7 linked regions of the Oryzias latipes genome follow. The protein of the gene in region 7 purifies or fractionates together with the protein of the main gene of each other region. This does not show direct contact. Links are inferred from orthologs where the notes say so. Each region holds a gene or a part of one and is shown on either strand. Other genes may lie near its edges.

Evidence for each region.
Region 1: the proteins of roquin-1 (region 7) and cnot10 purify together in Homo sapiens (affinity purification with mass spectrometry, with the first as the bait; 3 studies listed by BioGRID). This does not show direct contact. The link is inferred for Oryzias latipes from reciprocal best matches to the Homo sapiens genes RC3H1 and CNOT10.
Region 2: the proteins of roquin-1 (region 7) and CCR4-NOT transcription complex subunit 7 purify together in Homo sapiens (affinity purification with mass spectrometry; 5 studies listed by BioGRID, with this or other methods). This does not show direct contact. The link is inferred for Oryzias latipes from reciprocal best matches to the Homo sapiens genes RC3H1 and CNOT7.
Region 3: the proteins of roquin-1 (region 7) and cnot11 purify together in Homo sapiens (affinity purification with mass spectrometry, with the first as the bait; 4 studies listed by BioGRID). This does not show direct contact. The link is inferred for Oryzias latipes from reciprocal best matches to the Homo sapiens genes RC3H1 and CNOT11.
Region 4: the proteins of roquin-1 (region 7) and nufip2 purify together in Homo sapiens (affinity purification with mass spectrometry; 3 studies listed by BioGRID, with this or other methods). This does not show direct contact. The link is inferred for Oryzias latipes from reciprocal best matches to the Homo sapiens genes RC3H1 and NUFIP2.
Region 5: the proteins of roquin-1 (region 7) and fau purify together in Homo sapiens (affinity purification with mass spectrometry; 3 studies listed by BioGRID, with this or other methods). This does not show direct contact. The link is inferred for Oryzias latipes from reciprocal best matches to the Homo sapiens genes RC3H1 and FAU.
Region 6: the proteins of roquin-1 (region 7) and larp1 purify together in Homo sapiens (affinity purification with mass spectrometry, with the first as the bait; 3 studies listed by BioGRID). This does not show direct contact. The link is inferred for Oryzias latipes from reciprocal best matches to the Homo sapiens genes RC3H1 and LARP1.

Annotation. Positions count from the first base shown.
Region 1 is NC_019874.2:7,757,059-7,760,009, reverse strand, and holds the end of cnot10 (CCR4-NOT transcription complex subunit 10), read right to left. Parts: intron 2,341-2,951; coding exon 2,210-2,340; intron 2,138-2,209; coding exon 2,105-2,137; intron 2,028-2,104; coding exon 1,900-2,027; intron 1,099-1,899; coding exon 1,023-1,098; intron 815-1,022; coding exon 654-814; 3' UTR 501-653; downstream 1-500. UniProt on the Homo sapiens protein: Component of the CCR4-NOT complex which is one of the major cellular mRNA deadenylases and is linked to various cellular processes including bulk mRNA degradation, miRNA-mediated repression, translational repression during translational initiation and general transcription regulation.
Region 2 is NC_019868.2:26,784,432-26,788,562, reverse strand, and holds the start of CCR4-NOT transcription complex subunit 7, read left to right. Parts: upstream 1-1,331; 5' UTR 1,332-1,533; exon of another isoform or gene 1,534-1,763; intron 1,764-1,933; 5' UTR 1,934-1,940; coding exon 1,941-2,057; intron 2,058-2,666; coding exon 2,667-2,860; intron 2,861-4,014; coding exon 4,015-4,131. UniProt on the Homo sapiens protein: Has 3'-5' poly(A) exoribonuclease activity for synthetic poly(A) RNA substrate. Its function seems to be partially redundant with that of CNOT8.
Region 3 is NC_019879.2:14,490,649-14,494,911, reverse strand, and holds cnot11 (CCR4-NOT transcription complex subunit 11), read right to left. Parts: upstream 2,801-4,263; coding exon 2,482-2,800; intron 2,403-2,481; coding exon 2,238-2,402; intron 2,167-2,237; coding exon 2,014-2,166; intron 1,692-2,013; coding exon 1,489-1,691; intron 1,105-1,488; coding exon 902-1,104; intron 787-901; coding exon 690-786; intron 605-689; coding exon 407-604; 3' UTR 100-406; downstream 1-99. UniProt on the Homo sapiens protein: Component of the CCR4-NOT complex which is one of the major cellular mRNA deadenylases and is linked to various cellular processes including bulk mRNA degradation, miRNA-mediated repression, translational repression during translational initiation and general transcription regulation.
Region 4 is NC_019872.2:16,918,423-16,922,440, reverse strand, and holds the start of nufip2 (nuclear fragile X mental retardation-interacting protein 2), read right to left. Parts: upstream 2,801-4,018; 5' UTR 2,485-2,800; coding exon 2,337-2,484; intron 1-2,336. UniProt on the Homo sapiens protein: Binds RNA.
Region 5 is NC_019882.2:10,168,123-10,172,196, forward strand, and holds fau (40S ribosomal protein S30), read right to left. Parts: upstream 2,801-4,074; 5' UTR 2,700-2,800; intron 878-2,699; 5' UTR 871-877; coding exon 796-870; intron 719-795; coding exon 574-718; intron 463-573; coding exon 407-462; intron 292-406; coding exon 166-291; 3' UTR 72-165; downstream 1-71. Other genes in the region: prpf39 (pre-mRNA-processing factor 39), read right to left, coding at 3,802-3,888, 3,970-4,074.
Region 6 is NC_019872.2:3,469,417-3,472,916, reverse strand, and holds part of larp1 (la-related protein 1), read right to left. Parts: coding exon 3,441-3,500; intron 1,732-3,440; coding exon 1,569-1,731; intron 1,218-1,568; coding exon 1,073-1,217; intron 221-1,072; coding exon 46-220; intron 1-45. UniProt on the Homo sapiens protein: RNA-binding protein that regulates the translation of specific target mRNA species downstream of the mTORC1 complex, in function of growth signals and nutrient availability.
Region 7 is NC_019875.2:24,168,794-24,172,293, forward strand, and holds part of roquin-1, read right to left. Parts: intron 3,140-3,500; coding exon 3,019-3,139; intron 1,869-3,018; coding exon 1,629-1,868; intron 1,493-1,628; coding exon 1,317-1,492; intron 1,160-1,316; coding exon 959-1,159; intron 838-958; coding exon 705-837; intron 567-704; coding exon 448-566; intron 1-447. UniProt on the Homo sapiens protein: Post-transcriptional repressor of mRNAs containing a conserved stem loop motif, called constitutive decay element (CDE), which is often located in the 3'-UTR, as in HMGXB3, ICOS, IER3, NFKBID, NFKBIZ, PPP1R10, TNF, TNFRSF4 and in many more mRNAs.

The sequences.
Region 1 (2,951 bases), on a different chromosome or scaffold from region 7:
ATGAGTATTTTTGCTGTAGATTAAGATATTTCCCTGAACCAAAGCTTCAGTGGGTGAGGTGCAGAGGTACAACGGCCAACCTCTTTTCAGGTGTAAAGTTTGGTTCCCGGACTGCCTGACCATGTTCCGAAGAGTCCATGGCGAAAACATCACAAGTACCATCCTTACTGCGAAGGAGGGTCTGGGCACGGATGCCCAGTTTAGTTTAGCCATTACCTATTCAATTCTATGACTTTATGCTCTGATTCATGTTTATTACAAAGTTACCGGTATGAAGCCCACTGAGATGACTATTGTTGTAAATATTGGGCTATTTAAATAAAATTGAAGTAGAAGATACTGAACGCCAGTTACAGGCCGTTGCTGCACATCAGTTTTTATTTTGAATCTAGGGGGGTGAGAGTTGTGTGTGTGTGTGTGTGTGGGGGGGGGGGTCCCGTTCAGATGGTCATGGTAAATGTGTTCAACCAGCAGAATCAGAGAGACGATGATGCAGAAACTGGCTTTGATTTAAGACAGTTAAATTTATTGACACTGTTCAGAAAAAAACATTTATAAGTCAACAGAAATAAAAGTGCTGCTCTCCGAGAGTCACAGAGGGTAGAGTTATAGAAGCAGCTGCTTGGGTCTGTGGGGGGGGGGCTCCCAAAAGCTCATTTCCGCTGAACCTGTGTGAAGGATGATGGCAGCTGGAGGGGCTGGAAGGACTGCAGGGATGACGTAGCTTTCCTGTGGGATTCTGGAGAGGTCCTGTGGACGGCCATGGGCAGAAGCTGGTTCCGTTTGATGATCTGCAGGGCCAGCTGGGTGTTTCCTAAAAACACACAAGCGTGGGGATTGAGGAAAAGCAGGCTGAACATTAGGATGACTAGACACAGAACAGACAGCATCAACGTCTTTTGAGAGGAGGGGAAGCACGGCAGCTGTGAGGTTGTGGATCTCCACAGATCACCTCCTCCATCCAGTAGATCAGCGGTTAGACAAAGAACCTCCAGGATGTAGGAGTGTGGCCCACAACTGACCGTTCTGAAGCTCCAGGTACACGCCCAGCAGGATGGCTTCAGGGGGGATCTCCTTCCCGTTTGTGATGGACACAGCCTGAGGATGACCAAACCAGCCGTTACACAACAGACTGAAGTTGGATTTCTAAGTCAGGAGCAGACGAAAAACATGCAGTTGGCAAAATACTCTGGCAGGAGCCTCAAAAGTCGCCGGCCGGCATGCCTGTGAATGTGTCACGGTCCGTTTTTTGTGTGCTTGTCATGATCTCACCAGTCTGTTTTGTTCTTCCTACTTGCTTTATCCACTAACATTACAGAGTGTTAGTGGATAAAGTACAGTTGGATGTAGGTTTATTGACCAGTTTGAACGGTTTGTTTTTGTCTGTGGCGATGCAGAAAACGAGTCACAGTTTGTGAAGCTGCAGAGGCAGACGGGGACCGCCAATAAAGTACCCAAAACACCCCACACAAACAATAGCAGTAACTCACCATAAATGATCTCTAAAACATCACAAGTACTCATTATTGTTAAAGGGCCTATACCATGCTAGTCTTAAGCCTGTTATAGTAAACAATATCCATGTATGATCATTTATCACCTCTGGCACACCAAAGTATGATTTTCTTTTTATTTTCGCAGCTGATTTCCAACCCGGAAGTAAGAGGACTCGATCTCTGAGGCTCCGCCTTTTGCTCCTTTAATTCATGGTGGTGTTTTGGTGCCAAAATTCATAGGAAATTGCCAAGCAGCGCCCCCTAGTGTAATATGTAATACATTTTCCCTTTCAAACTGCAATCTTGCAGAAACAGCAGCGTATCTCTTAGAGTTCTTCATAGTCTTAGCGAGCAGCTTTGGCGATGGCGGTGCTTTCAGGTGTGTGTGGACCAAGGCACTGACCTGGTTCAGACAATTGCGGGCCTTGTCGTACTCGCTCCTTAAGCAGTAGGCGCTGCCCAGGTTGAAGAGCATGATGGAGCGAGCCGCCGCCACGCTGCCGGGGTAACATAGAGGCGTCTTCTTCCCTGCTGCGTTTGCAGGACGTCACAGTGATGAAAATGACAAGTGTTCCAACTTACAGTGGGTTGAAGGTGCAAACACTCACAAGGCTCCACTGGCTCTTCTCCCCTCTCTGGACCTGCTGACCAGACAGAATAAGAACGCAGGAAGCAGAAGTGCAGCTTCTATTGTAAAGAGCAAGCCCACTGACCCTGATCCGGATCGCTGCTCACAACACCCACCGACACGTCGCTCACATTCTCTGGGTTAAGGTGGCTGATGGCGTCTGAGATTCGGTCCAGTGAGATGAGGGCTTCAGCGGCATAGATGTGACCCAGAAACCTGCAGAGAGGAGAAGCCGTGACGCGACGGACTGCTGTTTTTTCCCTGCCCCTCTGTACCTGGAAGGCCTTTTCCCAGAAGGTTGGTCCTCTCTTAAGGCCGTGTCACACAGCCACTTTGTATATTTTGTGCAAGTTTCGGTTTATGAAATTGTGGTCTTTTGTGATTCATGCGTGATGTACATAATTCATAAGTGCTTCTTGCGTTCGTTACTCATCAATGTTCGTGGAGGCGTCTGTCCTTTTCTTGGCCTGCTGGTCTGTTGATGCAGATTTCTACCATTCAGATTCTGACTGCATGCACAGAACAATCTTTTTCATCCTATGAGTTTCCTCCTCTTACTGAAATGAGGTTTAAAATAAAATGCTTGAGATGCTGTAGATCAGGAGTGGGATAACTTTGAGACTCGTGGGCCACAAAGGGTTCAATAGAAGAACCAGACCAGGAGCCAGTTTTGGTAATCTACCTTATAAAAGAGAGAAATAACATGGAATCTGGAGGAAAACATTTGGACTAAAAATTTATATTTATTTCAAAACTGTGACTTTTATTCTCAGTTTAGAGCCAATTGCACCAACGACTTGATGTACCTCATGTAAAACGCAAAGATG
Region 2 (4,131 bases), on a different chromosome or scaffold from region 7:
GCCGGAGACCCCGGAGAAAACCCACGCATACACGGGGAGAACATGCAAACTCCACACAGAAAGGTCCCCCATTGATGTTCTGTTTTTCACGTCCCCCAGCCGGGACTTGAACCGGGGGCCTTCTTGCTGTGAGGCAAGAGCGCTAACCACTGCGCCACCGTGCAGCCTAAATGCAATAATATTTACTAAAAACGATTTTTTTGTAATCTTATATTAGCCACTGATTTTTTTTATTTTAGAAAAAATTACATAGTGGGAGATTGTCCCATTTTGTCTTTGTGTTGCAAATAAATAGAAGATGAGGAAGTGAAGCAACAATATGTTTATAAATAAATTATTTTGTTTTAAAAAGTACACATCCTACCTGAGGATGTGTACAAATCAAGAAAATGTGGGTCATAGTTTCAGGTTTGGCATCACAAAAAGAACCACTGGTGTCATCATTTTTGCAGCTGTGTAAAATACTTCATGCCCGAATTTATTCTCAATGTTGAAAAAACTTCCTTTGTGAATGAAGTGCTGGAGAAAATGAAATGTTATGAATTACTAACTTACGGGATGAGGGGTTAAAGGTCAAAGAAAAAGAAAAAGAATGAAATACAGATAACATAGAAAAAAATTAAACATTACAAAAATTACATAAGGTATGAAAAATTATAAGGGCATTTACACAACATATTGGTTATTGAGGGTTTGTGTTCAACAATAAAAGTTAAAGGTAAAATCTTTTTCACCCTAAATGTCCTCTAGTCCATATTTGTTGAAAATGTTTCCCTTAAAGATGTCAATCATATGCATTCTTTTTTTTCATCTTAGAGTGGTCATAAAATGATCAAAATCAACAAAAATGCGAACGTTGGATTATGATGCGTCTGTGAAAATTGTACTTTTTTATTAAAACAAGTGATTTGAAAAACGAATTTATCTCTGCATCATGTTTTACTTGAATTTAAAATGTGGCCTTTTTGGTTTCATGGCTAACATTTTTATTTGTGTAAAACTTTTTCAGTAATTTACCAAAATAATATAACTTTAGGGGCAAAAAAAAGTTTATTTTACTTTAATATAAATTGAAAAGAAAATATATTTTGTGAAAAAATAAAAAAAATCTGTACAGTATAATTTTTAAAAATAATATATCCTTTGAAAATAATTATATATACACTTTCAACGAGAGCCTGTTCACCTTGAATAAATTAGTAATTAATAAGAAATATATAACGTTTATTTGTACTTTTTAAAATTTATATATTCCTCTTTACAAACATTTATTGGAAAACCTTTTTTCACATTTTACGGATGAGGATCCTGAAACGTCCTTACGTCCTGACGTTTCACTTTACGTAATGACGTCACTGTGTGGGGTCCGCTGTGATGGCAGCCGTAGGTTGACATCAAGCCCCACTGAATATAAAAGTATTTCAAAGTTGGCGGAACACCCCCCTCCCCTCCCTGCTGACAGATATCACAGAACACACGGCCAGCTTTCAGATAGCACACGCTCAAACACGCGCGCGCCCGTTTCGGGGAACGGTGAGTCAACGAAACAAAACCTTTGCAGTCTCCCAAAAAAAAAAAAAAGAAAAGAAGTGACGCCCCGGCGTGTGTGCGCGCGCGCGCACTGCTGCTACTTACTCGTGCCTGTCCTGTTGTACAACCACTCCTGTGTAGTTGATCGAAACTAATGTTTTGTGTGAGAAAACCGCACAGTCGCCACTCCTCTTGTTCGGAAGTTTTACCTCCAACCCGCTAACTGTTAACAGGTAACAAGCTAGCAACAGTGCTGCTTTAAATTACGAGCTAGCAGGCGGCTAAAACACACATGACTTCTACTACTAACTAAGCGGCTCTTTTCATGTGGTTTCGGCTGCTTTGTCTGTGTTTTCATGATGCTCTCATCATCCCCCGCCCCCCATCTCCACGCGTGGTGAAGTGGCACTATGCCCGCAGCCACTGTAGACCACAGCCAAAGAATATGTGAGGTCTGGGCCAGTAACCTGGAAGAGGAGCTCAAGAGAATCCGGCACGTCATCCGAAAGTACAACTACATCGCAATGGTGAGAGATGCTCAGAGACCCCACCCATCCATCCACCTATCCATCCACCCACCTATCCATCCATCCACCCATCCATCCATCCATCCACCCATCCATCCATCCACCTACCCACCTATCCACCCACCCATCCACCCACCCATCCATCCACCTATCCATCCACCTATCCATCCATCCATCCACCTATCCATCCATCCACCTATCCACCCACCCATCCACCCATCCACCCACCCATCCATCCACCCACCCACCCATCCACCCATCCATCCATCCATCCATCCATCTACCCACCCACCCATCCATCCATCCATCCATCCATCCACCTACCCAACCATCGATCCACCCATCCATCCATCCACCCACCCATCCACCCATCCACCCACCCATCCATCCATCCACCCACCCACCCACCCATCCACCCACCCATCCATCCACCCACCCATCCATCCATCCATCCACCCACCCATCCATCCATCCACCTACCCAACCATCGATCCATCCATCCATCCACCCACCCACCCACCCACCCATCCATCCATCCATCCATCTATCCATCCTCCCACCCACCCACTGTCACTGGTGTCCACGGTCCCTCGTTCTTGCCTCTTTCAGGACACAGAGTTTCCAGGAGTTGTAGCCCGACCCATCGGAGAGTTCCGGAGCAATGCCGACTATCAGTACCAGTTGCTGCGCTGCAACGTGGACCTGCTGAAGATCATCCAGCTGGGCCTGACCTTCATGAACGAGCAGGGAGAGTACCCCCCCGGGACGTCAACGTGGCAGTTCAACTTTAAGTTTAGCCTCACGTGAGTCTCTCACTATGTCTAAACAGACTCGTCCGCTTGGATTCCCATGAACGACTTCACAATCTGTAAAAACAATTCAATTCAAAACACATTAAAGTCCTATATGCCTTTGATCTATTTTAAAAGCATTCCCAATCAGATTTAAATTATGGTTATTCCGTATTTTAGCCACACACAAAAAAAAGTTGTCATTTTCCTGGATATAGTTTCTGCAGTTTCTACCCTTTATTCTCCTTCCTTGTTGCTGAGAGCTCTCTGTTTACACAATCTCCCGGTAGCTTACAGCCCCCTCATACCGCCTGACCTGATATTGACCGGTGCAACAAAAAGGGCGAGCCAGCTCAGACGAGGAAGACGAAGGTTAATTTTCTTTATGTATCATCAAAAAAAAAAACCACCACCACATGTTAAGCCCTCCAAAAACACAACTTACATTTTTTTTATCAGAGGGGGTAGGCGCACAAAGGGGATTTAAATTAATCGAAGAGAAAGCATCCTGAATGAAAATAGGAGTTTTTATATTTAAAAAAAAAAAAACAGATCAAAGCTGCCTGAAAAATACAAGTAATTAATGAAAAAAATAGCAATAATGCATGCTCTAAATAGGAAGCACAGGTGTTTTTTTAATTGTTTTTTATTGTTAAACAGATGGGGTTTTTTTTTACTTTTTTTACGTAAGCTTGGGTGGCTTTTTAAAAAAAATTTTAAGTTATGTTTGTTTTGTGAATCATGTAAAACATCTAAAGATTCTTGGAGAAATCCATGGTGGATGTTCTGGGACGGAGGAGGCGGGGCTTACAGGAGAAGCATTTGTCTTTCAGAATAAGAGCGGCGCTTTCATCCCTTCTCACACGATTGGTCCCCCGTGGGTTCAACGATGCTTTTCAAAGTCAAGCGTTATTCTGTCCATCGTTCCCAAATGGAAGAATTTGCACTTTTTCCAGCATCCAGTCAGATCCTAGTCGATCTATTCCTGCCTTAAGTTTTTTTTTGAAGGTTTCCCTCTTTGCTGAGCAAACCTACAAAGTTTAAGTTTTTTAATGGTTATTCTGTGGCGTTTTGTTTGTTGTTTTTTTGGAATGAAAGCGTGAAGCTTAGAAACAGAGATGTGTTTTATTTATTTATTTCATTTATGTATTTATTGTTTTAACCAGAGAGGACATGTACGCGCAGGACTCCATCGAGCTCCTGACCACTTCAGGAATTCAGTTCAAGAAGCACGAGGAAGAAGGCATCGAGACGCTGTTCTTTGCAGAGCTGCTGATGACATC
Region 3 (4,263 bases), on a different chromosome or scaffold from region 7:
ACTTTACCCTCAACATTTTTAAAAGCTAGAAAACTGGGAGCAGAAGAAAACGGTCAGAACTTGTGTCACGCTTTGCAAACATACAACTCTGCACACAAGAACCAAACACTCAACAATTTTATGGAGACAAAATAAGGAGTAAAACACTTTTGAGTTCAAATGTTTCACTGAGCTCCAGTAAATCTGCCGAAGTGATAGCAGCTTATGGAATTTCTGCAGCTTTGACTTAATGCAACATTTGATCACTCAGGAAATGACATCGAAAATAATACAAACTCGAGGGTTTAATAAAGAAAAAATTGATGAGTCAGTGACAAAGATCCTCCGCAGAGCTGCATATTTACAGCACGTCCTCTCATGACTGAGCTGTACGGCTCCCTGCTCCCTCTGATGTCAGGACTCCTGCTCATTTGATGGGCTTGGCCTCGGCCGGGTTCTCCCCAGTGTCCAGGGTCTTCAGAAGGCGGAAGAGGCCGGCCGCTTCACGGATGCGGCTGAACTCTATGCAGAAGGCCTGCACCTCGATGAACAGGTCCTGGACGTTGATGATCTTGTTTCGGATCAGCGACTGCAGGAAGACGCACACCAGCCGGACCAGGCGGTTCTGCAAGAATCAAGCGGGTTTTTATTCCAGAGGAAAACTCTTGAGCTCTCTTCAGCAGTTCACAGTTCCAAGAACGCGTGTTGACCTGCATGTATTTGTCTTTGATCTGCTCACACGTGGAGATGCAGTTGGAGATGTAGAGGTGGATGAATTCTGGAGGCAGATCCACAGCTGTGGTTAACCTGACGGAGGAGAGCAAACAACTCCATCACTTCCAAACTACAGAAACAGCACCAAACTGGAACCCAACTGGAGATTCGTTAACAGGTCTGAATACAGCCAAAGCCCCGCCCCCACCTGTTTACCACCTCCATGGAGTGCAGCGACATGTCCATGTTGACGAGCACTGAGAAATACTCTGTGATCTGGCTGCTCTGCATCAGTTTTAGCAGCATCTCGATGGCCACCAGTGGGTTGTTCTCCACCAGCTCAGGCAGCTTCACAGGCGTCAGGCCGATGTGATACACCAGCTTTGGGTCTTTCTCCAACTCAGCCAGCAGCTGCACACACGGCGAGGTCAATACAGAGGAGTGACAGCGGTGCACAGCAGTAGGAGTCAACGCCTCCACAAGAAATAATTTGTCTTTTAGGGAACGGACGATAAAGTTTTTGAGTGAAGGGAAAAATAAAGGTTGATTTTTTTTAAGACCACCAGAAAACTAATCCAGGAAGACAAAGGTTAAAAAAGAAACAAATACTTTTCCCACAAATTGTGTTTTTGTTTTGATAAATCTTGATTTAAAAATGAAAAAAGAGCAGATCTGAAGTTAAGTTTTTGTTTCTTTGCAAAGAACAGGAGTTCCTATTTTAAATAAAGTTTTTATTTTAACCCTGACTTTGCCTTTGTGTAAACCAAACATGTTGTTGATCAGCATCAGACCTACCTGGGACTGCTGCTGAGCCGACAGCGGACTCTTGAAGGCCTTGGCCATGATGCGTTTGATCTCCACGCCGGTGCTGTTCTTCACACACATTGACCGATCCCACTGGATGCAGTGGTCCGGCTCGGTGGGGTTCAGCCACGCCAGCTCATCTTCGCATGTGTGGAGCGGAGGCGTCGGCCGGATGAACTCGGGTCGAAAATGACCTGGGAGGGTTTTGAGAAACTGGTACTTACCATGCCTCATAGCAACACCTTCAGACAGACGGCCTTTGAACAAAGTCTAAATACTTTAATATAAAACTACTGAAAAATGACATAACTTCAGCAAAAACCTTCTAGACAGTCACTCAAACACTTTTTTTTTTAAAGTATCAGTTAAAGATCAATCGCACTCAACAGATCAGGTCGGCGCCGATCAACCTGTAACCGTGAGTTTTTGCTGAGGAGACGGCTACCATCTTTTCTGAGGAGATTCCTTCTTTCTTCCACAGATGTGATCACAGCTTGTGTGAAAAAAAGCACTTACTCTCCAGAGGAGGACGCAGCCCTGTGACCAGAGACTCAATGATCTGATTGGCCACAGAGCTGTCGAAGCCTGAGTTGGAGGAGTCTGGATCGGGGTCGTTGAGGATGCTGGGGAAGCTGGCTTTGCTCTGGGTGGGCAGCTCTGACTGGCGCTCTGCAAAAAGAGGGCTGGGATTGACGGCGTCTTCACCTGTGATGAGATGTTTCCTTACAACCTTCACTGACCTGCTAAAGGAAGCTGCAGCCCGCTGATGTCTATAGATGGGGGCATGTTGCTCACGTCCATGCAGGACACCTGTCTGGGGGTCTTTTTGAAGAGGTCTCTGGGCGGAGCCAGCATCAGCTGGGACAGGAAGAACTTCTCCGGCTGCGTGATGGGAGGAAGGAAGCCTGGACCCAACGAAACAGAGACTGAGCGGCTGCGGTTCTGATGAGACGTCGGGCTAAAGGTGAAAGGAAGCGGCCCTACCGGACAGGGCTTTCTCCTGCTCATCCCCGGAAGGTGCTGGGTTTAGCAGGTGCGCGAACACGGCGGCGAACGGGTTCGCGGCCAACGGCTCGGTTCGGTACATCTCCCAGAGCAGATAGAGGGCTGTGAGCCGCTGCGGAGAGCTGGGCAGCAGGTCCGGCTGCTGCAGCAGCATGACCAGAACCGAACCCACCTTGAAGTGGTCCGCCTTCCCAAAGTAATGATGGAAATGAGTGGAGAGGGTCTCGAAGCTGTTGTTGCAGGCCTCATCCGAGATTATGCTCAGCAGGTTGGACAGTTCCTTTGGAGCCAGAGTCATCGTTTCCCCGCCACAGTTCGATCGGATGCAGAGATTGACCGGGGTCCCTGATAAGTCTTTCTGTATAACTATAGCGGCGCTCTTACCCGCTTATTCATCTTTGAAGACGCAGAGTGGAGGACGGTGGCCCAGAAGTCATCTCGATTGAGATCCTATAACGCGGTTAGCATCAAGTTAGCCTAGCTTAAAAATAAGCTACAAAACCGGGAAACTCGTCAAAACATCAATCATCTTTTTAAAAATAATTATCCAAATAGATTAAATGAACGTATAACTTATCAATCGAACCAAAGAGTTACAAAAGATAATATTTCCAGGACTGAGAAAGAAATAAGACCCTGAATGGGATAGTGCTGCGAGCCATTAGCTTGAAGTATTTTTTAGTCGTATTTTCCGGTGAACTGCATCTTGGGTGATGTAGTTTTCTTCAGTTTCTCTCCAGTCCAGCAGGTGGAAATGGTATATGAATTATTCCTACCAAATAATCGTTCACATTTGTTTTATTTAAATAGATAGATAGAGAGGGAGAGGGAGAGAGAGAGAGTTAAGAGAAGGTAGAGATAGCAGTACTCTGCCTTTTAGGCTCAGGTAAGAGACCTAAATTAAAACCCATAAGTTAAAACGTTTTACTAGGGACTGAAATTTGAAGAACTTCTCTTATGTTCGTTTTAGGTGATGGTAATCCCTAGGTATGTTACACAGTGTTGGAGTACAATGTCTGTCACCATAGACGATCTCTGTCTGATTATGTTATTACGTAAGCATGCGCCAATTTTTTTTACGTGCAGTTGAAAATAAAAAGGAAGGCGCAGCCTCTCATCATAGTCAAGACGAAGTGAGTGGGGAGCTGCACTTCAGGTTCAGAATGAAATGTCTCCTGTGTCCATTATTTAAGAGTTAAGAAGCAAACACGGTTGTGTGTAACAGGGATGTCTTTAACGGCTTTGGCGTCGGGAGAGAGTTCCCGAGCGGCAAGAGAGACAACTGCTGCTGCTGGAGAGCCAACACACAGTTTCCATAATTTTTGGTGATAGTAATCCCTAGGTGTGTTACATGTATGTGATGGGAATTTTACATATGGATCGTGTTTTGTCAAATTTGATAGGTAGTTCTTCACATTTTTGATGTTAAGATGAAGTGCAGGGCCATTAGAAAAATCTTTTACTAGATTTAGGGCTCGGGGAATTTGACTGCCATCTTTAAAAAAAAAATGTTAATATTAATATCATCTGTATCTAGACGATCAAAAACAAGCCAGTATATGGCTAATATGTGACTGCCGGGAGATACTTTTGTTGCTCCATGTAAAACTTGATCTTGTTTGGATTCTTCTCTCCAAGGATCTTTTAAATGAAAACTTTGTATAAATTAAAGTAGTTCAGCATTAGGATTATTAGTTTGTAGTGGCCATCTATCCAGTCGACAATCTAACACCATATTCAGGTCTCCTCCAATTATAATTA
Region 4 (4,018 bases), on a different chromosome or scaffold from region 7:
TTAGTGGCCGTTCACGTTAAATAACATTTCTACTAAATAATGGTAAATGCCGTATACTTATTTAGTGCTTTACAAGCTTTTTAGAAGGCCCAAAGCGCTTTACAGTCACAGTCCCATTCACCCATGCACACACACTGGCGCCAACCTTCCACCAGAGGTAAGGTGGGGTTCAGTGTCTTACCCAAGGACACCTTCCTGCAATCTTTTGATCAGAGGTCGACCCCCTTCCACTGTACCAAGGCAGCCCGTAATAATGACATGTTAATTTTGACATAAAACTAAACAAGTCTATTTTTAGGTTGATGTTGCCTTTATTTATACGTTTGGTTGGTAAAGGATATTCATGGTTAAAGCAGCAGAAAATGCTTTTTCAGATGACCTGCAAACATGTATGAATGGCACAAACGAATTACAAATATGACTCTGCAGCTATATTGTTACGCAATATCAATACATATTAGAAAACATGTTATTTTTAGGTCTCATCAACTTTACTCACTTGAGTTCTAAGTTAATTGGAATTAAACATAAATCAGTACTTTTTGGAGAAATCAATATAATTTTTTGTATCAAATTACCTATACTTGTAAGTTGAGGTGTAACAATTAATCAACATAACTGATTAATTGATTTCTACTTCTACGATCCAACCAGATTGATCTGTCTGAGACAGGTTGTCAACCAATCGACCTACAACAGTATAAAATCGTTTCAAAATGAGACAAATTAATTATAATCATTATCGGAATTTAGCATTTGCATCACAGCAGACAAAACACACGTGATGTAAGCAAAAAATGATCAGTCTATTATTCCAGTCCAATATGTGGAAACACTTTGAATTTAGCAAAGACATGCGACCATACAGTGTGCTAGAATGTTCTAAAAATGTTCCCTTTGGATTATTTTGATGTGGAGAAACAACAGTGGACTGAACTTTAGGAAATTAAGAGGTGAATGGATTTTACATTAATTCTTGTTTACTTGTTTGGTTGTACACACATTTAATTTACACTAGATTATCTTACAAGAAATACAAGGAATCTGGAAAACTTCACCTGCACTGTTCAGTACCAGGTATTTCTGAGTCACACTGGAGGAACTTTTGGCTAAAGATGTCCTGGATCCATTTTAGGTCAGTAAATCGTTTCAGATCAAATGAACCAATACAGACTATGAATTGTACTGGCAACCAGAAATTAGGATATGAATCGAATCATTACACCCAGATTCATGAGTATAATCTCATCCAGTTCACTTCCATGTTCAATAACAGGTTTTTGAAATTTCAGTTGATCATTCAGTACCAACATCTCGTATATACAGCTCGTTGTGAATAAAACTGATCTTGTTTTAATTAGTCACATCCTTGATATGCTGCAGTTGACGCTGATGTCATTGTCCCACATTGGACGTGTGTGATGACCTATGCTTATTGTGCTGTAATTACTTAAGCATGGGAACCGCGGTGCAAACGTGGGACTTTTCCCTTCACGGGATTTCTCCAGCCGAATGTTTGTGGACAAAACACGCGAGATTCCCCACACAGAATAAATCACTTTTGCTTTTTAGTAAACAGTGTTTTACAGCAGTCAGTTTTCTGAGCCAATTCTTCCACGCTCCACGGCTGCAAACACAGTCAGTCAGGCAGCATCTTGCGTGACTTCACAACACGCGATAGGCCTGTCAGACAGCTAATGCTAGCGGAATGTCAACCAACCAGTAGCTCGCTCAACACTAGCGCACTTTCAGACGACTCCCTGGTTCCGTTATTTTCAGTCCCCGGCGGCAATTAGAGAAAGCATGAACAAATAGAGATGGGCAATGTAGCTACTCGGAGAGCAAAAGCAGCATTAGCTTACAGTCCACGTCTAACATGGCCGACAGGAAATGGGAGCACAGAACATTCCAGCGGAGCCGGCTCGGTTTCCTAACTGGACTCGAAACCGATACACTACAGGAGGTTGAAGTTTGGAGGAAGACTAAGTTAGTCTCTACAGACACAGGGTGGCACAAATAAAGCTTTTATTAGAGGCGTTAGCTAAAATAAAATCGGAAAGCAAAGCCGGCGCACAAGGTCAATCCCTGATATGTCAAACCAACTGTCACGCAACGTCAGCTTTAAAAAAGCGTGAGTTTCTCGTGTGACAGAGGCCTAGCGTGGCTCTCCTCGAGCGAGCCACCGAACTGCCACGGCGGTTCTGAAAATATTCAACCGTGCAACCAACAATCAGCAGGATAAAGCTTCAATTGTGGGAACTTAGCGAGGGCTCGTGCGCTCGTTGACATTAGCCAACTGAAGCTAGCAACAAGCTGACTTTTCGGGACGGCCTAACCTGTTTTCTTCGCCTGCGTTTCCTGATGCTGGCACTGGATGTGGCTCTGATCATGTTTCAGACGAAGTGTGTGTTGAGTATAGTTTCTGTCCTCTCCGTGGTGATGGTTTTGCCTGTCTTGTGCCCGATCTTTGGGCTGTTCCTCCATTGAAGTGAAGAATGTCGGACTGGTTGAGGCGGTGTTAGCTCCCTCTTAGTGCCGAACAGTCCAATCACTACCAGAGTGAAACGGAAGCTATTTGAAGCCCGTGTAAACGTCAGCAGCAAATGTCTAAAAATGGCTCTGTTTTGGGTGGTCACCGCCACTTAAATCCACGTCCAGACCCTCTGTTGGCCATTGCAGATCATATTCAAGCGCCTTTGTCGATCAAATCTGCATTTTACTCTAGAATTAGAAGTTAGGAGAACAATAACCCCCCCTGTCAGGGTAGGAAATAACGGGGTGGGGTTCGTGCATGAGCCAAAAATCATATGACCCGAGGCGCTGCCACGTCTCCAGCCAGTGGACAACCTTTGATGGAGGGTCAGCCTTTAAATAAATGCTTTTTGTTTGTTTTAAGTCTTCTAACTGCTGTTTAATATACATACATACGATCAGATACATAAAATATTGGACTGTTTCAAATTTGTAGAATTGACAGTTGTTAAATCAAGAACTTAGTTCAAAGGGGTTTCGCCTCAATTAAACTCAATTCTCCTTTTCATTGTAATCATAAGATTTAAAACACGGGATTGCAGTTATAAATATCTAGAAACAATAATAGGATAGTTTCTTCATTTATGCTTTAAAAAATGAAAGAAAAAGTGTAATAAAAAATACTCGTAAATTTGTTAAGTTTTAGAGTTAATTGAAGCGCCTCACTTTTCAAAAAGTGGGAGAAGTCTGGAATCTTTGAACAGCTCACGCGTTTAGATAATCGTTGAAACAATGCCATCTAGTGGCCACGAGTGGAAGTCCTCAGATTATAATCTCTATTATGAAATTGGCTATAAATAAATATTTCAGATCAAAGCTTTGTCTATTTTTTAAGTTTGAGATTAAAATACATTACAAAAAATACAGCTTTAACATTACATAATTTATAAGCCACCATTAAGACAATTAATCATACAAAATATGTTTTAAATAGCTAATATTCACAAATGATGAAAGTTAAGAATCAAGCAACCTTTATTCACTTCTTCCCTTCTGTTCAGTTAAAGCACTCTCTTGATTCCAACACACTTTTACTGCTGATGTATGCAGTCCTGGCCCCCTTCCACTTGACAGCTACTTTTATATGAAATATTCATATCACTGCTTCATTTAACAGCAAGATTTATTTTTAAAAATGGAAGGTTTCCAGAGAACAGTACTCTCCAGGCACTTGGTTAAACATATCCTGGACACTATTTTTAAAATAAATATGTTGGCAGGTTTATGGCAACTTTTGCCACTTTTTTTCTTTTTTTAAATCAAATGATCCCTCAGATGATTTTTTATGGAGGAAAAGCAAAGACCTGTGCAATAATGGGATAAGAAAATTAATATTTGTTTAATAAAAGTTATTCACTCTAATTTACATTTGTATATCATTTCATCAAGAAAGAGTTGACCATATAGTTAATGTCTTATTTCTGACAAAAGTATTTGGTTTTCTTTTAGACACAATATGAGCACCCTTTCTGACAACTTGACAGAA
Region 5 (4,074 bases), on a different chromosome or scaffold from region 7:
TACTCCGAACCAGAAGGACAGAACCATTTTTGAAATGGCTACTCGTGTGGAAACTATTAAAGCAGACGATAGCCGGGGAAGCCAGAGCAGCGTTTTTATTCTGTACAGAAGATGTCAAGTGAAAACATCCAGCTGTGCCGGTCCACCTCCAGGTCACACAACCTCTTAGGAGTTGGCATTGGGCCCCTTCTTCTTTCCAAAAGTGGGAACTACGTTGACGAAACGCCGGTTGTACTGAATGCGGCGCTTGGCGCGGCCGGTCTTCTTCTTCTTTTTCTCCTGCTTGTCCACCTGGACAACACAAGAACTGAGGGTTAGGAACGAGAGCATCAAGCGCCTCACAACATCAGCTCCAAAACGATACAAAACCCCAGGTTGAATTATATTTGGCTTAAAAAGCTCTCACCTTAGGAGTCTGTCCTCTCACTTTTCCAGCACGAGCCAGAGAGCCGTGCACTTTACCTGTTCGGAGGACAAAAGGTGGTCTTTGATTATTGAACTCTCTTGTTTATCTGAGAATTGTGCACAAAGCCACACAGAATGAGAAAATGAAGGTTTCATCTTTCTTCTGACCTCCCAGCAGCCTGCCGGCCACCTCCAGGGTGCAGAATTCTGAGACGCCACACGACACGAGGGAGGCATCATCCTCCAAAGGACAGCCAGTGAGCATCAGCACCTGATCCTCCACCAGGATTCCCTCCAGAGTTTGGACATGAGCCTGAAAGAAAACCAAGTCATGGTTTCAAGATTCCTCCACCGGAGGCGTCGTTTTGGTAAATTCAGGTGCTGAGTTACCTTGATCTGGCCAACCGTCTCCTCTCCGGTCACCTCGAGGGTGTGAGTGTTCTGGGCGCGCAGGAAGAGCTGCATCTTCACGCTGAGAAGACAAACAACAACATTAAGAAGCTGGTATAAACAGATAGTGTGGAATCGTGGGCAGTTTGACGACTGAGCATTTCATTCAAGCCAGTATTATTAAACAACAGCTTCTATAAGGAACTGAGAATGAATGGGACAGAGGACAAACGTTCTAAAGTGCTGAACCATTCTGCAGAACTCCTCCAGGTATCTCCATGCCAAAGCGGAGAACATGAAAACCTTTACAGGAGCACATTTCTCATCCAGTCAGGCAAACGTTGGTGGATCCCTAGAGCAGTAGTCCCCAACTCCCTGGACCGGTGCTTATCTTGTTAACTGGCCACTACTAATCTTATTCTGGATTACATTTTATTGAATTAATATGGTGTATTGTCAGCACCACATCTATCTATAACTCTTGACGTAGTAGCTCGCCTTGGTCACGCGTCTTGAATATCTGTGCCGTCTTCCTGAAGCATCTGCTCCGCCACTTAAAAACCAACGGCAACCAACTAATGTGTTGAGGACAACATAATAGATATGAAAGATGATTTAGACTCAAATTAAGAGTAAAAACAGTGTTCTATGAAAAAAATGTAGTTAGGCCTTTAATAAATTTTAATCAAATCAATAATAACTCAACTTCTATATAAAAGCTACATTTTAAAATCTTTTTACACTTGATGTTGGACTATTATAACTTTTTAAAAAAGATGTTTATATAGTGGTCGATGAAAATGTTGCTTTATCTTGGCCTGAATAAGAAGCTTACCCAGAGAAAAGAACTGCATTATTTACCCTGGTATATTTATTTACATTAGCATAAAAAACAACAACAGCCTTGTTAAAACTCTAGTGGGACTTGTGCAAAAAATAACAGATTTAAGAGACATTTCTCAATTTGTCAAACCTGTTACTGATCTAAGGTTTAAGAAATTAGGATTATTTGTTTCCCACTTTTAAATAAATGTGGATTTGCAACCAAAGAGGCTGACACTTTCTCTACTAAATATAAGATTTGGAGATCAGTTTAACAACAAAAGTTCTTTAATATTGAATAAATCACATTACATTTTTGCTTTGTTTTTATGAATATCATTATTTTGTAGGTTTGATGTCAGATTTGTATGTTTAAACGTACTTACCTTTTTAGTTTTTAACCAGACAACAGAACATTCTGTCATAGAAAAAACTTTAGCAATAAAATAAATTGTTGAGCTTCTCAAAGGTCGTTATTTTATCCCCTTTAATCGTTCATTCATATAAAAACCAACCTATTTTGCCTTAGTAATAAAACTTGTATTTTTCAGCACACTTGGATCGTGTTTTTTCATTAACTTCATGAATTTGCTATGATCAACTTTTACAGCCAACATCAATTTAATCAGACAAAAAGGGATATTTTTATTATTTTAAGCCTTAATTTTTAGTCACAACGTGTTGGCGTTAACTAGCGTTCACGTGCAAACTTTCGAATTGGTTTAGGTTTTCTGGTAGGTAAACATAAACGAACTAAATTGTCTTTAAAAGTAAAATATCTAATTTCTACGTTGGTACTAACCCAGTTCTGTATGCAAAAGTAAAAATTTTATCCTAGTAGAAGATGATCAGAAACGCAGTTTGGAACTTAACCTATCTCTTCCGGCTAACTCTACTAGCAATGCTAGCCACATGGAAATGCGCTTCACAAAATTCCCTAAAAACATCAAAATTATCCCTCGTGTCACAATATACGCGTCCGCAGATGGTTATTAAACGTTTTAAGAGTACAACAAATGTGTTAAAATACGTGCTGAATTGTTTGTATGCATAGTTTTGACTCAAAAAACAAAAGGCCTAACCTCGTTTGATGCTCGTTGATCGGCGATCAGCGGAAAAAGGGCTGTCTTAAGGGTACGCATGCGCATGTGCACGATTACGTAGGCAATTGCGTATGTAGCCATTTTTTCTTTAAACTTTATTTAAAAAATTAAAAACAAAGCGAGTTGGAGAAAAGCGGGGGAGGCAAAGAAAATCTTTTTGACACGCTGACAAAAGGAACGGTAAATGTGTTGGTAAAAGTTTTGAGGTTGAAAATACAGAGGATTAAGATAAGAGAAAGGCTTATACATGGGAAGGACATCATTTATGTGAGGTCAGGAAGGAATACGAACCATAAAAAACTAGGTATGATTGACAAAACTTTATTGAAAAATTGCAAGGACACCGCTAATGTGAGTTAATACTTTCACTGTCAGGCCTTTTATAATTGTCCAAAGATAACATTTAAATAATTTATAAAGGTGTTTGACTAAGAATAGATTCATGTAATTGTAATGGTTTTAAAACTGTAGTTTGCTTGTACAACGTCGAATCTTTGTATTTATCCAATATTGGAAACAAAATATTTGGACCAAAATAATAGCACCAGATTTAAGAAAACTGTCCAAAAAATAAATAAATCCAACATGACACTTGAAGATAGTAATCTCTTTATTATGAAATAACTTTTTTTTAAAAAAAGAAAGAAAATCTTCATTGTCTGAGAAACCAACATATTAAAATTGTACCAATGTGGAAGAAACCATGACTCAAACATCAATGAAAGCCTCATTTGCAGGTTTGAATCTAAAACAGACAAAAACTAACCAGTAGGATTTAAAAAAAAAAAAAAAAAAAGCTAAACACTGAAATATTAACCTCCCTTCAAACACCAGTCATTTCCTCAAAAAGGTTTTTGGAAAATATAAGCATCGCTAAAGGAATACAGCAGTCTTCACTTGAGCTGAATCGGTCCTAAACCCCCCCAGAACGCTTTTGACTTCTGGGTTTAACTACTAAACAGAAGTGGGAGAATAAGAAATGAAAATCATGCTGTGCAGAGTTTGGGATTCAACGCAAAGGGTTCCTGATAACCAGCAAACTGATTTGAGGAGGTCTGGGTCTTCACGCCAGCCGTGTCGATCATGTAGGAGGAGGGGGGTAGTACTGGTTGTACTGGTTGTACTGGCCGTACTGTCCCCAGGAGTTCTGTCCCCAGGCCCCATAATGCTGCAGAGGACAAAGAGAGTAGAGTTTAACCCTGAAGATGAGCATCAGCATCTGTACGGCAACACAGAGGTGACAGCCCACCTGGTACCAGTTGTAGTTGTAGGCAGAGTTGTTCGCCTGCATGTCGGTCATTGAATTTGCTGCGACTGCAGAGCCATCGTCGGCACGCTGCCTTTTGGCATCTGG
Region 6 (3,500 bases), on a different chromosome or scaffold from region 7:
TGAGGCTCTGGTGGAGCAGGTGCAGGAAGGCGGGAATGGACCGACCTCTCGGATCCCCAGTCATCTGCCTCGGGATGAACTCGGGACAGTTGATGAGCTGGGAGAAGTCTGTGTGCGTGTTGTTGGGTAAACTCAGGCCGGGCAGAGGCCACTTCTCTGGGTCCTCCTTCCTGCGGATCTTCAGGTCGATCACCTCCACCTCCTTACTGTCCTTGAGAGCCTGATGACAGACACAGCAATGGTAAGTAAAGACTCGCCAGAAAGAGCTTCTGTTGTCCCTGGAGAAGCAGAGTCTGCAGATCAGAGGTCTAAAAGTTCTCCCCACAGATGCTGAATCAGAGAAGAGACATGAAAAACTCATAATTTCTGCAGAAACCTCCAAGTCTGAAGCTTCCCTGCATTCAATAAGCTGGTTAACCAGCACATTTGTGTTTCCGTGGAAACTCTAAAGCATCAATACAATCCCGGATGCAACTGTGATGAAAAACCACAAAGCTGAAAATCACTAAAACATCTAGAAGAAAGAAAAGGGACGTAACACTAAAGAGGTCAAATATGAACCACGGTCGTGCTTTAGGGGCGGCCAGTTTCAAGCTCAACCTTCAGACACGATCACAGGTGCAAGGTCAAATATCTGAACTTTAGCATAGAAGACGCACCGTCAACCAATCAGGGACTCAGCTTTGGCCTGTGACGTACTGATGCAATCATTGGGCGGAGTCCAAACCAACACGGAGGAGAATCTGATGGTTCTGAACCTTTTTTTTTTCTTCATTCTTTATTATAATATAAACTATTTGAAAAAAAATGTTTCATAAAAAACAAAGCTTTTTTGGGGTTTTACACCAATATTTCTCAATCTTGCTCGTTTCAGTCGCCGTTTTGCATCAGTCAAATCATCAAAATCCACTAACGTCAGGCTCCTTCAATGCAGACTGCAAAAAGCAGATGACAAACTGAACACCTGAGCTCCAAAAACCTGCCACAACCAGCCCGCAGAAGGCTTTCCCGTCCTAGCTGAGCATGCGTCTCCATAGCGACGGCAGAGGTGGACTCGTCCGCTCCTGCTCACCTCCAGGATGACGCTGACGTCTGTGGTGAGGGCCTGCACTCGGTGAAAGCTGGCGATGAGGCTGATGGGCAGGAAGCCCTCCTGATCCATCTTCCTCCTCAAGAAGAAGTCCCGCTCCAGGTTCTCCAAGCTGAAGTAGTACTCTCTGCAGAGGAAAGACCAGATCCACTCAAGTCACCAACAAAACGACACAAACAAATGCTTCAACTGATGCCGTGGCGTCCGTGGTGGAGAAGGAGAGGAACCAAGTTCCCAGGAGGGAAGCTGGTATTTGTGGAAACAGAAACCACATTGTTCAAGGTTTAAATATAGACAAGAAGCAGGTTCACTTTGAGCTTCTGCTTCAGGACAAAACCTGCTTCACAGCTCAGATCAGAGTCAAAATTCTCTGCTCATGATTCATCAGAGAAGAGACATGAAGAGCTCATCACTTCTGCAGCTCCTCCTCCTCCTCCTCCTCGTCCGTATACGCCTCTTCCCAGCGAGCTGGACTCACATCTGTCTCTTGATGTAGTCCTTCAGCAGGTCCTGGTCCACAGAGTACAGCTCAGCGCTGCTCATGTTGTCGTAGTAGTACGTGACGGAGTTGCCAAACTTCTGGCTGTAGGAGCCGTCCTTCCCGTCGTAGGACTTGTAGGTGCAGTGGTAGTCGTAGTGACCTTCCAGAACGGAGAACCACGTTAACAGGAAAAAATGTTAGTTTCTCTGCACATCAGATGTTCTCGAATCCAGATTATAAATGTAAAAAGGGCATCAGGTTTAGGGTTTTAACTCTTTTTTATGACACAAAAATAAAATATACAATAAACATTTAGATAGGGACAATTTTTGTCTTTTAAAAGCTGAATTCTGACGTTTTTTATGTGAACATAAAATATTTCGTTTTAAAGAATTGATCCTAGAGTTTCTTTTGATATATCAAATATGTTGTGCTGCCATTTTATTTTCTTAATTTTAATGATTCATTACTATTATTATATGTTTTTGGTGTATATTAGGCGTAGTGATGGGATGTGTATCGCCTTTCTGTTTGGAGTTTTTTTTTTTTTTCCTTTTGTTCTAGGTTTCAATGGGGGGAGGAAAAAAAAGTGTAATCATTGTTATCACGTGTTTAATATTGCTGCTCTAAAATCCAATAAAAACAATTTTGAAAAAAAAAAAAAAAAAAGAATTGATCCTCTGGTTTATCAACAACAAAAACAAGCAATAAAACATTAAAAAGCAGAAAAAAACCACATTTATAGGAAATATCCTAATGGAAATTAAATGTATTTAGTAGCAAATAAACAATTGAAACTGAACAGAATAAAAACAAAATGTTTTTGTTTTAAAAATCTGGGTGTAAAAACTGTTCAGCTGTAGTTTTAGAACTTTAAAGGCCATAAAGAGAAAAAGGTTCTAACTTAACAGTCAAATCTGACAGTTTGGCAACAAAGTTGATCAGCCTGAAGCTAAAATACGAAGCGTTTTTCTATTGAAAATCAGAAATAAACACGTCTAAAAGGGAAAATCGTTGCTGCTGAGTATTTTTGTCGTCACCTGTTCAGCCGGCTTTCACTTCCATGTCAACAAAAAATAATCCAAACAAAGAACCACAGAGTCTGGACAAAAGTGAGACGCTCCTGTGGAAACAGGCCGCTTAAGGAAGAAGCGCAAAAAAGTGAGGAGAACAAAAAAGTTTCTTTTTTTTTTTTTAAAGAACGTGAAAAGAAGCAGCTTTGGAATGAAGGTTTTTCCTGCTCAGCTGTTCTGGACGAAAAACAACCATGAGTCATTTTTAGCAGCCAGTCATACTTTCTGTTTCTCTTCTGGGCTTCCAGATGTCACAGAACTATAAATAAACTACAGAGAATGGCTGTTTTACCAGAAGCTTTAAGCCTGACTTTAGGTCCAGACTAAATGTCAGAGCGGTGAGCCGCAGATCAGAGCTGTGCGGGTTTTTCTCCACAAGATGTTCAATCAGAGAAGAGACATGGAAGCTCATCATTTCTGCATCAAGCCTCCAGGTCAGGAAGCTCCAGGAGCCGCTTGGTGCATCCATCCAACCACCACCAACTTTCCCAAAGGAGCATCAGGAGCATCTCCATCTGAACTAATCATGTTTGGGGTTTAACCCCTTCAGGGCATGTTGCCATTTAAAACATTGAAAGCATTTGAACAGACGTGGACGCCTCGCTCACTGACTGACTGACTTTGGCTTTACAGGTCAGACTGACTGCAGAACCTGCGAGTCAAAGAGCAGGGCAAAGCCCCGTAAACACATGTAAGTGTTAGTCACGTCGCTTGTGTCAGCTGTTGGAGAGGAGAGGCTGGCGCCGCAGCGTCATGTTTGAGTCTGATCAGCAGAGAGGATGAGGAAAAGGATTACCTCTGCCTCCTCCTCTTCCTCGGCCCCGGCCTCTTCCCCGTCCGCGTCCACGACCTCTGA
Region 7 (3,500 bases):
GATCCCATAATTTACTACAGCATCCATCTATACATCAGGTTGTAAAAATAATTATATTTCAATGTAACCGTTTTTTAGGTTTAAAAGCCAATATTTGTTTTAATGAAATCATTCTGCCGACATATTTGTTTTGTTAAGACTTCCAGATTTGATGGACAGCCACAAGAAGAACAACTATTTTTAAAGGGAGCTTTTGGCAACAGCTGACAAACTTTATCATTTGTGAAACATATTTAGTGGAAGCAGTGTGTTGATTCTCCAAAAGTCAACTTAACACATTGCCAATTGTTTTGCCCAAGATGCTGGTATTCAAGGAAAAGAAATTACTTAAAAAAAATGACTATTTAAACATGAATAGCGTTCGACCTTTTAGATCAAAAATCCAGATCCATCCATCTGACAGCGTTTCAATATTCTTTTGCAGTGTGCAGTCACTCAAACACTGACCTGTTGAGGGTCAGCTCCCTTCTTGCTGTGGTTCTGGATAAAGTCAACTAGCCCGTGTACCACTGTTTTCACTGCTACAAGCCCTTTCTCTAGCTGCTCCCACGTAGGAGGAGGAGCATCTAAAAAAAATTAAAATAAATCAGAATCAATCAGTTAGAAACCACTCAAAGTCTGCATTATGTCATGTAATTCCTTGAACTGGCATGCTCTTGCTTCACTGTGTAACACAAATTTATAAAAAAAAATAGTTTTCTAACCCGGGCTGGGGTCGATGTTTGCCAGCAGTTCCAAGTGGGGCCGCAGCCTGTTCAGGTTGGCTGGGTCTCCGGTCCTCTGCAGTGCAATTGTCAACTCCTGGACACTTTGGGCAAAAGATGCTGGGGTCTGCAGCTAAATGAGAACCAATTAAGTACAGAAAATGCAAAACAAAAAAAACTACAAGTGTAGCAAAACAGGCATATCTATGATGTATTTTGAAATAAACTGAATGCAAAATCAAACTGTTGTGTACCTTATCTATTATAGACTGCATGTGAGACTTGTGAGATTGATCTCCATATAACAGAGAAGACCACTGGTCAGGTGCTATGCGTAATCCACCTTCCATGGCAATCTGTACGATCTGAGAGTCGTGCTCACGTCTTAGAGCCTCGTAAGTACGAAACTCTTCTTTCAGCTGCATCAAAGATGAATCTTCATCACGTTTGGTGACCTAAAGGGCCAAAACAGACAACTCTGTTCAACGCTTAAAGAAATTATTTAATGACATGATTACTGAAACATTTATCTCAACACCAAGACAGAATGATTTTATTTGTCCAATATTTAAAAAAAAGAGACATTCGTTTAGTTGACGGATGGAGACGTACCTTAAAGCAGGAAGCCCTGTAAAGGAGCTGTACCACGTGGCCTATGCTAGTTTTAGAGGCCTGAGGGAAGCGAGGCTCCAGCCTCTGGACCACAAACAGAACCAACACTTTCCTGGACAAAGCAGAACCGTCTTCTAAAGCAAGGAGGACCAACTTAAGAGCTTCCTCTTGCATTGCTATGGGAGGAGAAATCCACAATAAAGATGTTACATGGCGAAAGACTTAAGGAAAAAAAAAAATCTTTAAAAAAATTATTAATTACATGCACAGTCGCATTCCCGGTTAAACTTCAGAAATTTTTAAAAAAATTACCTGGACCTAAGAACTGACATCCCCGAGCACGAACAGCTGCCCAAAGGTTGGAAGAGAGTTGCTGTGGATTCTGGTGCTGCAAGATGAGTTCAGTGACAGTTCGTTCACCCAGGGAGCGGGCAGCTCTCATGGCTCTGACGCGGCCCTCTTCCTCCACCAGCTGGCAGTGGACTAGAGTTACCAATTTCCTCTGCATGGGTCGACTCAGAATGCTTTGGGCTGTACTGCTCAGACCCACACCTGCAGACGCATCACAGGCTAGGTTAATCAAAAAATAACCAATAAGAAAACAGCTCAGCACAGAAATATCCCTCTACATTTAGGTCGATGCAAACATAAACGAGTGGAGCACCTAGAGTATAACCACAATGAGAGAACAAAAAAGTCAATAGAACATGAACCCAAGACTTGTAGTGGAAACGTTCTTGTTATGAGCCATTAGTATTAACATTGACATCACAATGCTTAAAGTAAAAATCTAGTTTCCAAAGTACAAAACTCCTTGAATTCCTTTTTGTGGACGAATCAACTAATTAAAAAATGCATTGAGCTCTTTCTAGACACTTAGTTTAGTCTAGATTTTTCACAGAGTAACTAAATATTATAAAAATAAAGTAATGAAACTGCACCATAAATTTTATAATAATGGCAAAAGTTAAATGAAAAAATACATTAGATCAATGATTTCTGACAAAATACACCAATGAGCAAAATGCTGCAGTTTATAAGTGTTGTATTTGGTCAAAGCACATTAAATTAAAAAAAATAAAAAACTGACTATGCAAGGAGAGCTACTTAAATACAGAAAGTGGAAAATGTCATCAAATGAAAGCAGCAAAATCAATTTGTTCTTCCTTGTAAAAAAAATAGATTTCATGTGTAAACAATATTGGACCAATAAAAGTGAATTTGGTCTTGAAAATATTTTGGATGTTTGACAATATTCAGATAATCATCAACAACCTTTTTTTATAACCATCTGATGTATCATATAAGTATTTTACAGATTTGTTTAGGAAAACTTTACAGACGCCACATGTCCTTTGTTTACGCAAAAACACTATTATTGTTTGGAAAATCATATTTATTTTAAAAAAAGCTATTAATTAAAGCTTCAAATCTACATTTATTATGCACCACATTAGAATGCTAAGGATAATTCTGCATTCCTTTTTTCCTCGGGATATTGAACTTTTGCATTGCATTTTGAAACTGCTTTTCTATTTTTGTAAACAAGTAGTACAATTGAAAACAATACTGTACATATAATGGCAGTTTCCATGAATGTGTCTGAACTTTTGTGAAGGTTATAAAAGAAAATGAGAGCAAAAGTTGTGCGTAAAGAACTAATAAGGATAGAAGGAGAAAGTTGTTGAAAGTATTAAAGTACCTCGGCTGTTACTGAGGGGTTTGAGATAAAGGGCCAGTTCCTCTACACACTGCCTGGCCACCTCATAATTCTGTGAGTCTTCTGGACTGGTAATCAAGGCAACTGGCTGAGCCTTTGGAATCTACAAGAGAAAAACAACAACCAAAATTTAGTGCAGGCTACACAAAATACATATAGGACAACTTTTTATTAAGCTTGTATGAATGAATGGGTCAAATCAACAGATACGTTTTTAAAAATCTAATTTAAAGGCTATATCCATTTTACTTGTGAACATCTCTAACTGAAAAGAGTTGTTTGTGAACCAACAACAACAAACATGATTTCAATTTCTCGCACTAGTTTGTAGCAGGCATGTCATTCTGCAATTTCACTTTCATTTGGACAAGAATTAGGATAAACTGGTTTCACCCAAAGCATTTTAGTACCGTCAGCAGAGTCTACAAACTCGCATAACTACTTTATTTTGGTGCTACATTCTA